2 linked regions of the Macaca mulatta genome follow. The protein of the gene in region 2 interacts with the protein of the main gene of each other region in a pairwise test. Links are inferred from orthologs where the notes say so. Each region holds a gene or a part of one and is shown on either strand. Other genes may lie near its edges.

Region 1 (3,689 bases), on a different chromosome or scaffold from region 2:
CAACAGAGGAAGGAGTTCCAGGATCCATACAACCCAAGATGTGCCCCCTTCACAAGGACTGGGGATATCCCTGGCTCCACAGAGTATGGCTGTTTCTTTTTTGTAGCTCTAGGGGGACCAGATCAGGGATGGCCGTATGTTCTAGTCTCACTTGTACCACAGGCAGGAAGTTGGGGAGCCCGCAAGGAGATGGGGTCTTGGGGTAAAGGGGGGATGTCTACCCATCTCAGGGAATTGGGGGTTGAGGAAGCACAGGCTTTGGCAGGAATAAAGATGAGTGAGCCAGACAAGGCTATTGGAATCCTCACCCCAGAACCAAAGGGGTCAGCCCTGGACACTTCACCCAGGGTGTGGCATCTTCTTACTCCTGTTTCCAGATCTCAGAGAGGTGAGGACCTTGTTCTCAGAGGGTGACTCGGGTCAACATAGGGACCCCCATCTGGTCTAAAGACAGAGCAGTCCTACGATCTGCCATGCATTTGGGTGAGGAACATGAGGGAGGATTGAGGATACCCCAGGGCCAGAACACTGACAGAGACCGCACAGAAATCAGCTCTGCCCCTGCTGTCACCCCAGAGAGCATGGGCTGGGTCATCTGCCAAGGTCCCTCTCTTATCTTGGGATCATTGATGTCAGGGAGGGGGAGGCCTTGATCTGAGAAGGCTTCACTCACGTCAGTAGAGGGAGAGTCCCAGGCCCTGCCAGGAGTCAAGGTGAGGACCAAACAGGCGCCTCACCCAGGACACATTAATTCCAATGAATTTTGATATCTCTTGCTGTCCTTCCCCGAGGACCTAGGCCCGAGTGGCCAGATGTGGGTCCCCTCCTGTCTTTCTGTTCCTTATCATGGATGTGAGCTCTTTATTTGGATTTCTCAGACCAGCAAAAGGGTGGGATCCAGGTCCTGCCAGGAAAAATGCAAGGGCCCTGCGTGAGAACAGAGGGGATCATCCACCGCATGAGAGTGGGGATGTCACAGAGTCCAGCCCACCCTCCTAATAGCACTGAGGGCCCAGGGCTGTGCTTGCAGTCTGCACCCTGAGGGCCCGTGGATTCCTCTTCCAGGAGCTCCAAGAACCAGGCAGTGAGGCCTTGGTTTGAGACAGTGTCCTCAGATCACAGAGCAGAGGACGCACAGGCTGTGCCAGCAGTCAACGTTTGCCCTGAATGCACACCAAGGGCCCCGCCTGCCGCAGGACACATGGAACTCCACAGAGTCTGGCCTCACCTCCCTACCGTCAGTCCTGTAGAATCGACCTCTGCTGGCCGGCTGTACCCTGAGTGCCCTCTCACTTCCTCCTTCAGGTTTTCAGGGGACAGGCCAACCTGGAGGACAGGATTCCCTGGAGGCCACAGAGGAGCACCAAGGAGAAGATCTGTAAGTAGGCCTTTGTTAGAGTCTCCAAGGTTCAGTTCTCAGCTGAGGCCTCTCACACACTCCCTCTCTCTCCAGGCCCGTGGGTCTTCATTGCCCAGCTCCTGTACACTCCTGCCTGCTGCCCTGACCAGAGTCATCATGTCTCTTGAGCAGAGGAGTCTGCACTACAAGCCTGAGGAAGCCCTTGAGGCCCAACAAGAGGCCCTGGGGCTGGTGTGTGTGCAGGCTGCCGCCGCCTCCTCCTCTCCTCTGGTCCTGGGCACCCTGGAGGAGGTGCCTACTGCTGGGTCAACAGATCCCCCCCAGACTCCTCAGGGAGCCTCCGCCTTTCCCACTACCATCAACTTCCCTCGCTGGAGGCAACCCAATGAGAGTTCCAGCAGCCATGAAGAAGAGGGGCCAAGCACCTCGCGTGTCCTGGAGTCCTTGTTCCGAGCAGTACTCACTAAGAAGGTGGCTGATTTGGTTCGTTTTCTGCTCCTCAAGTATCGAGCCAGGGAGCCGGTCACAAAGGCAGAAATGCTGGAGAGAGTCATCAAAAATTACAAGCACTGCTTTCCTGTGATCTTCGGCAAAGCCTCTGAGTCCTTGCAACTGGTCTTTGGCATTGACGTGAAGGAAGCAGACTCCACCGGCCACTCCTATGTCCTTGTCACCTGCCTGGGGCTCTCCTATGACGGCCTGCTGGGTGATAATCAGATCATGCCCAAGACAGGCTTCCTGATAATCATCCTGGTTATGATTGCAATGGAGGGCGGCCGTGCTCCTGAGGAGGAAATCTGGGAAGAGCTGAATGTGATGGAGGTATATGATGGGAGGGAGCACAGTGCCTATGGGGAGCCCAGGAAGCTGCTCACCCAAGATTTGGTGCAGGAAAAGTACCTGGAGTACCGGCAGGTGCCCTACAGTGATCCTGCACGCTATGAGTTCCTGTGGGGTCCAAGGGCCCTCACTGAAACCAGCTATGTGAAAGTCCTTGAGTATGTGATCAAGGTCAGTGCAAGAGTTCGCTTTTTCTTCCCATCCCTGCGTGAAGCAGCTTTGAGACAGGAGGGAGCAGCTTTGAGAGAGGATGAAGAGGGAGTCTGAGCATGAGTTGCAGCCAAGGCCAGTGGGAGGGGGGCTGGGCTAGTGCACCTTCAAGGACCGTGTCCAGCAGCTTTCCCTGCCTCGTGTGATGTGAGGCCCATTCTTCACTCTGTTTGAAGAGAGCAGTCAGCATTCTCAGTAGTAGGTTTCTGTTCTATTGGATGACTTGGAGATTTATCTTTGTTCTCTTTTGGAATTGTTCAAGTGTTCCTTTTAAGGAATGGTTGAATGAACTTCAGCATCCAAGTTTATGAATGACAGTAGTCACACATAGTGCCGTGTATATAGTTGAGTAGTAAGAGTCTTGTGTTTCATTCAGATTGGGAAATCCATTCTATTTTGTGAATTGGGATAATAACAGCAGTGGAATAAGTATTTACTTAGAAATGTGAAAAATGAGCAGTAAAATAGATGAGATAAAGAACTAAAGAAATTAAGAGATAGTCAATTCTTTTTTTTTTTTTTTTTTTTTTTTTTTTTTTTTGAGACGGAGTCTCGCTCTGTCGCCCAGGCTGGAGTGCAGTGGCGCGATCTCGGCTCACTGCAAGCTCCGCCTCCCGGGTTCACGCCATTCTCCTGCCTCAGCCTCCTGAGTAGCTGGGACTACAGGCGCCCACAACCGCGCCCGGCTAATTTTTTGTATTTTTAGTAGAGACGGGGTTTCACCGTGGTCTCGATCTCCTGACCTTGTGATCCGCCCGCCTCGGCCCCCCAAAGTGCTGGGATTGCAGGCGTGAGCCACCGCGCCCGGCCGAGATAGTCAATTCTTGCCTTATACCTCAGTCTATTCTGTAACATTTTAAAAGATATATGCATACCTGGATTTCCTTGGCTGCTTTGAGAATGTAGGAGAAATTAAATCTGAATAAAGAATTCTTCCTGTTCACTGGCTCCTTTCTTCTCCATGCACTGAGCAGCTGCTTTTTGGAAGGCCCTGAGTTAGTAGTGGAGATGCTAAGGTAAGCCAGACTCATGCCTACCCATAGGGTTGTAGAGTCTAAGAGCTGCAGTCACGCAATCAAGGTGGCAAGATGTCCTCTGAAGATGTAGAGGAAAAGTAAGAGAGAGTGAGGGTGTGGGGCTCCAGGTGAGAGTGGTAGAGTGTAAATGTCCTGAGCTGGGGCATTTTGGGCTTTGGGAAACTGCAGTTCCTTCTGCGGGAGCTGATTGTAAGGATCCTGGGTGGATCCAGGGCCAGATTCTCAGACGGTGAGAGAAAAGC
Region 2 (4,261 bases):
TCAGCACTTTGGGAGGCTGAGGCAGGAGGATCACTTGAGCCCAGGAGTTTGAGACCAGCCTGGCCAACATGGTGAAACCCCATCTCTACTAAGTACAAAAAAAAAAAAAAAAAATTAGCCAGGAGTGGTGGCAGGTGCCTATAATCCCAGTTACTCGGGAGGTTGCAGTGAGCCAAGATTGTGCCATTGCACTCCAGCCTGGGCGATAGGATGAGACCCAGTCTCAAAAAAAAAAAAAAAAAAAAAAAAAAGGAAGGAAAGAAGAAAGGAGGAAGGGAGGGAGGAAGGCAGGCAGGCGGGCACGTCTCCCTCACATCCCTCCTCAGCTCTTGAGAGCTACCCTGATGGTACCAAGGGCATCACCCTAAATGTGCACCTCAACACCTGCCCTCCTTACCAAGGTTGAGAACAGCACTCCCCACCCTGCCCTCCCTTACAGGCCACATCTGCCCAGGTGAGAAGTTCTACCAGGCTTTCCCAAGCTAGAGGGCATTCATCCCATGTCCACTGCAGCCTGTCTGGCTCCATGACGACGATGCCACCACCTCTCTGGCTTTTATAAGCATTACTTCTACCACTACTATTACTATTACTGCAATGACGACGAATAGTATTAGTACTATCACTCCTCCTGCCTTCTCCCACCCCCACTGGCCAAATCTGCCTTAGGTTTTCTTGCCTCCGTGCCCTTATCTGGGCTGCTCCTGCCACTTGGACCAACGTCACAGGCCCCTCCCTACTTTCTGGGCACAGTTCAGGGGCCCTCTGTGCAGGAAACCATCCCAGAATGACCCATACAAAAGGGATCCTGCCCTCTGGATCCTCATCTCAGGGCCAAGGCCTTGTTCCTTGCTGGATGGGGGAGGCTCTTAAAGTTGTTTCTCGTACCCGCAGGGACTGGGAGGTTCCCGAGCCCATCACATGTACTGATCACAGAGAACCCCTCTCCCATCCCTCCTGGCTGTCTCCCATCCAGGCCAGCGTGGTCTCAGGCAGAGCCCCTCTACGGCCTCTCCTGCCAGGTCACATTTCAGGCCTCTCTGTCCCCTGGCCTGCCACTCTGCCCCAATCCTGCCAAGGGGAAGGGGTTTGGTGCTGGAGTCCGAGGCTACTCCCAGGAAAATGGCAGCAGTGGGGTGGGCGTGCAGAGCAGAGAAAGCCTCTATTTATAAAGCTCCCAGCTCCCTCCCTCCCACCCCGAGGCTGGGGCCTGACTGCTGGCTCCCACTCCAGTAACAGTGACCCTGTGGGGCAGCCCCCACCAAGCAGAGCCACACCTAGGCCCCGCTCTGCCTAGGCCCTGAGAGCCCTGGCCAGGTCAGGCAGCAGGGCCCCAGCCCTAGCAGGGAACTGGCAGATCAGGTTCTTCCCAGATGTGGGAGATAGTGTGGTTGCCATACCAACAGCAAAGTGGGTTCCCCCCTCCCAGATGGACTGGGGCCATCCAATCCGAGGGGCTCCGGGATCCTGGCATCTCCACTAGGGCTGGGGCTGCCCACCAGACTTGGAACACTTTAAGCAGTGAATTCTCGCTGGGATGCTAATCCTCAACGGGACACAGCACTTTCTAGTAAACATGACTACATGGGTTGCTGGCTGTGTCTGGGCTCCTGGGGAGGGGAGGGGAGTGCCGGGGTTGGGGGTGGGGAGACAACTGTACTCAACAGAAACAACAAAGATGACAACGACAAAGACAATGCTACAGGACCTGCTCCCAGAGCCCTGGAATGGGCCAGCCCCAGGCCTGCGGAATCCCACTGAATCCCATAACCACGGTGTTACACCTGATTTACAGAAGGGGAAGGCGGGGCTCAGAGAGAAGTGACTTGTCCAAGGGCACATGCTGAATGGGTGCAATATTAACCACGGTGACACCAATAATGAGCTTGCCTCCGGTGAGCACACATATGCAGAGTCCCACAGAATCCTCGCATCTGCCCTGGGAGGCAGGAATACTGATCCCATTTTTCAGACTGAGAAACTGAGGCCCAGTGAGGTGAAGGCACCTCCCCCAAGGTCACAGGAGGGCACTTTCCCACCCACACCTGAGCCTAGGTCTTCCCATGATGTTGAGCTGTTTCTCTCTGCCCCTAAACGGACAGGACTGGTTCCAATCTCAGTATCGTGGGCCTGAACAGCTTCCCAGGCAGATCCCAGCCCTCTCCCCATCCCCCAGGCCTAGGGACGAAGGAAACAGACCTCCCGTGGGGCAGAAAGGAAACAGCTCCTGGCTTCCGGCCTGACTATCCAAGCGTGTGAAATGGCCATGAGGGACTCATGACACCAGCCGCCCATTGCACAGGTGGGGAGACTGAGGCCCGGAGAAGGGGTTGTGGCGGACGCATGAGTCCCTGGGCCTGGGACCCAGGTCGCTAAAAGCCCCGCCAGGCGCCGGTCACTGCTGGACAAGGGCAGGGAGGTAGGACCCAGCCGGTGCCTCCTCCCCTCCTCAGCCGGGCAGGCGCCAGGGGAGCAGGATAACCCAACCGGCCCAAAGGGTGGGCACCGGTGCCTCACTCCAGGCAGTAGGGCCGGGCCGCCCGGGCTCTTTCCCTCTTCTGGTCAGCAAGGGCTCAGTGGGGCAGAGGTGTGCCCGCGGCGGGGACGGGGGCAGCAGCCCGGGAGGGCTTCCCCGCGTCCCCAGGCGTCTGCCGCAGGGTGCTCCCCGCCCGCCGCACATCCGGGCCCCCGGCGCACGGCGCGACGCCAGGCCTCACCTGCACGGCCCGGGTGAAGAAGATGCCCGCGTCCGACGCCAGCTTCTTCATGTTGAAGTCCATGGTGCGCCCGCAGGGCCGCCGCGCACGGGCCGAGCGCAGCCGGCAGCCCCAGGCCCAGCCGCCGCAGCTAACCGCACCCCGCCCACCTGCTGCGGGCCACCGGCCCTCCGCGTACCCGCCCGCCCGCCAGCCCGCAGCAGCCGCCTAGCCAGTCCGAGCGTGCAGGGCGGGGCGCGGAGGCCGCGGGACGGAGTAGGCGGGGTGCGGAGGCCGCGGGGCGGAGCTAGGGGGCGGGGGGCGGAGCTGACGGCGCCGGGGCGGAGCGGGACGGCAGTGGGGCGGGGCTAGAGGGCGGAGGCGGGTTGGCGGAAGTTGAGCAGAGTTGGAGGGGGCGGGGCTGGTGGGGCAGGGGCGGGGACAGAGGGCAGTGGGGCGGAGCTAGATGGGTGGGGGTGTGGCCTTGGCACGGCCAGAGCCGGGTGCGGGGCGGGTGCAGGGCGGGTGCAGGGTGTCCCGCTGGGCAGTGCTCGCTGCTGCCCCCCTGCGCCTGCTGCCGCCACCGCTTAGGCCGGCCTTTTTTTCCTTTACTAAAATTATTATTAAAACTGGAACTCATGTGCTCTTAGATGATTGCAGGTACACACAATAATTACATATTATTTGACATCTTACCAATGCTTTTCAAAATTTTTAATTGTTAAATATGTATTTACAGTCTACAAGGTGATGAAATTGTGGAATAATGAAATCAAGTTAATTTACATGTCCATCACCTCACCTACTTTTTTTTGTGGTGAGAACATTTCAAATGTACTCTTTTAGCAATTATGCAATACTTTTTTTTTTTTTTTTTGTAGACAGAGTCTTGCTCTGTCACCCAGGCTGGAGTGCAGGGGTGTGATCTCGGCTCACTGCATCCTCCACCTCCCAGCTCAAGCAATTCTCCTGCTTCATTCAGCCTCCCGAGTAGCTGGGACTACAGGTGCCCACCACCATGCCCCACTAATTTTTTGTACTTTAGGAGAAATGAGGTTTCAACATGTTGCCCAGGGTGGTCTTGAACTCCTGATCTCAGGCAATCTGCCTGCCTCAGTCTCCCAAAGTCACTAAGTGACTGTGGTCACCAATCCGTGCAATAGATCTCTAAAATGGGCCTCTCTTGCTTTCTCCTCCCCCTACGCTGTGCCTGCTGCCTCTCCCCTATTTGTGCCTCTTCATCTCCGTTCTCTTTATTCGTACCCCCACCTCCTGTTCCTATTTCTTCCACTCTGTTTCCCTTGGGTCTCCTCCCTTTACTCCTCCCCTCTGACCTCTCCTCCTCTCTTCTGCCCTGACCTCGGTGACTGAGCCAGCCTGACCAAGATGGAGAAACTCTATCTCTACTAAAAATACAAAATTAGCCAGGCGTGGTGGCACACGCCTGTAATCCCAGCTACTTGGGAGGCTGAGGCAGGAGAATTGCTTGAATCCCCAAGAAATACTAGGCAGACAGGGGCGCGTCCCTGGCAAAACCCTACATTCCAGCTGAAAAGCCTGAATCC

Evidence for each region.
Region 1: the proteins of SH3GLB2 (region 2) and melanoma-associated antigen 1 interact in binary tests that used the Homo sapiens proteins (3 or more experiments, as listed by UniProt). The two-hybrid records come from large-scale screens. The link is inferred for Macaca mulatta from reciprocal best matches to the Homo sapiens genes SH3GLB2 and MAGEA1.

Annotation. Positions count from the first base shown.
Region 1 is NC_133426.1:159,459,734-159,463,422, reverse strand, and holds melanoma-associated antigen 1, read left to right. Parts: upstream 1-1,462; 5' UTR 1,463-1,516; coding exon 1,517-2,467; 3' UTR 2,468-3,180; downstream 3,181-3,689.
Region 2 is NC_133420.1:18,617,968-18,622,228, reverse strand, and holds the start of SH3GLB2 (endophilin-B2), read right to left. Parts: upstream 2,810-4,261; 5' UTR 2,781-2,809; coding exon 2,718-2,780; exon of another isoform or gene 2,296-2,717; coding exon of another isoform or gene 2,200-2,295; intron 1-2,199.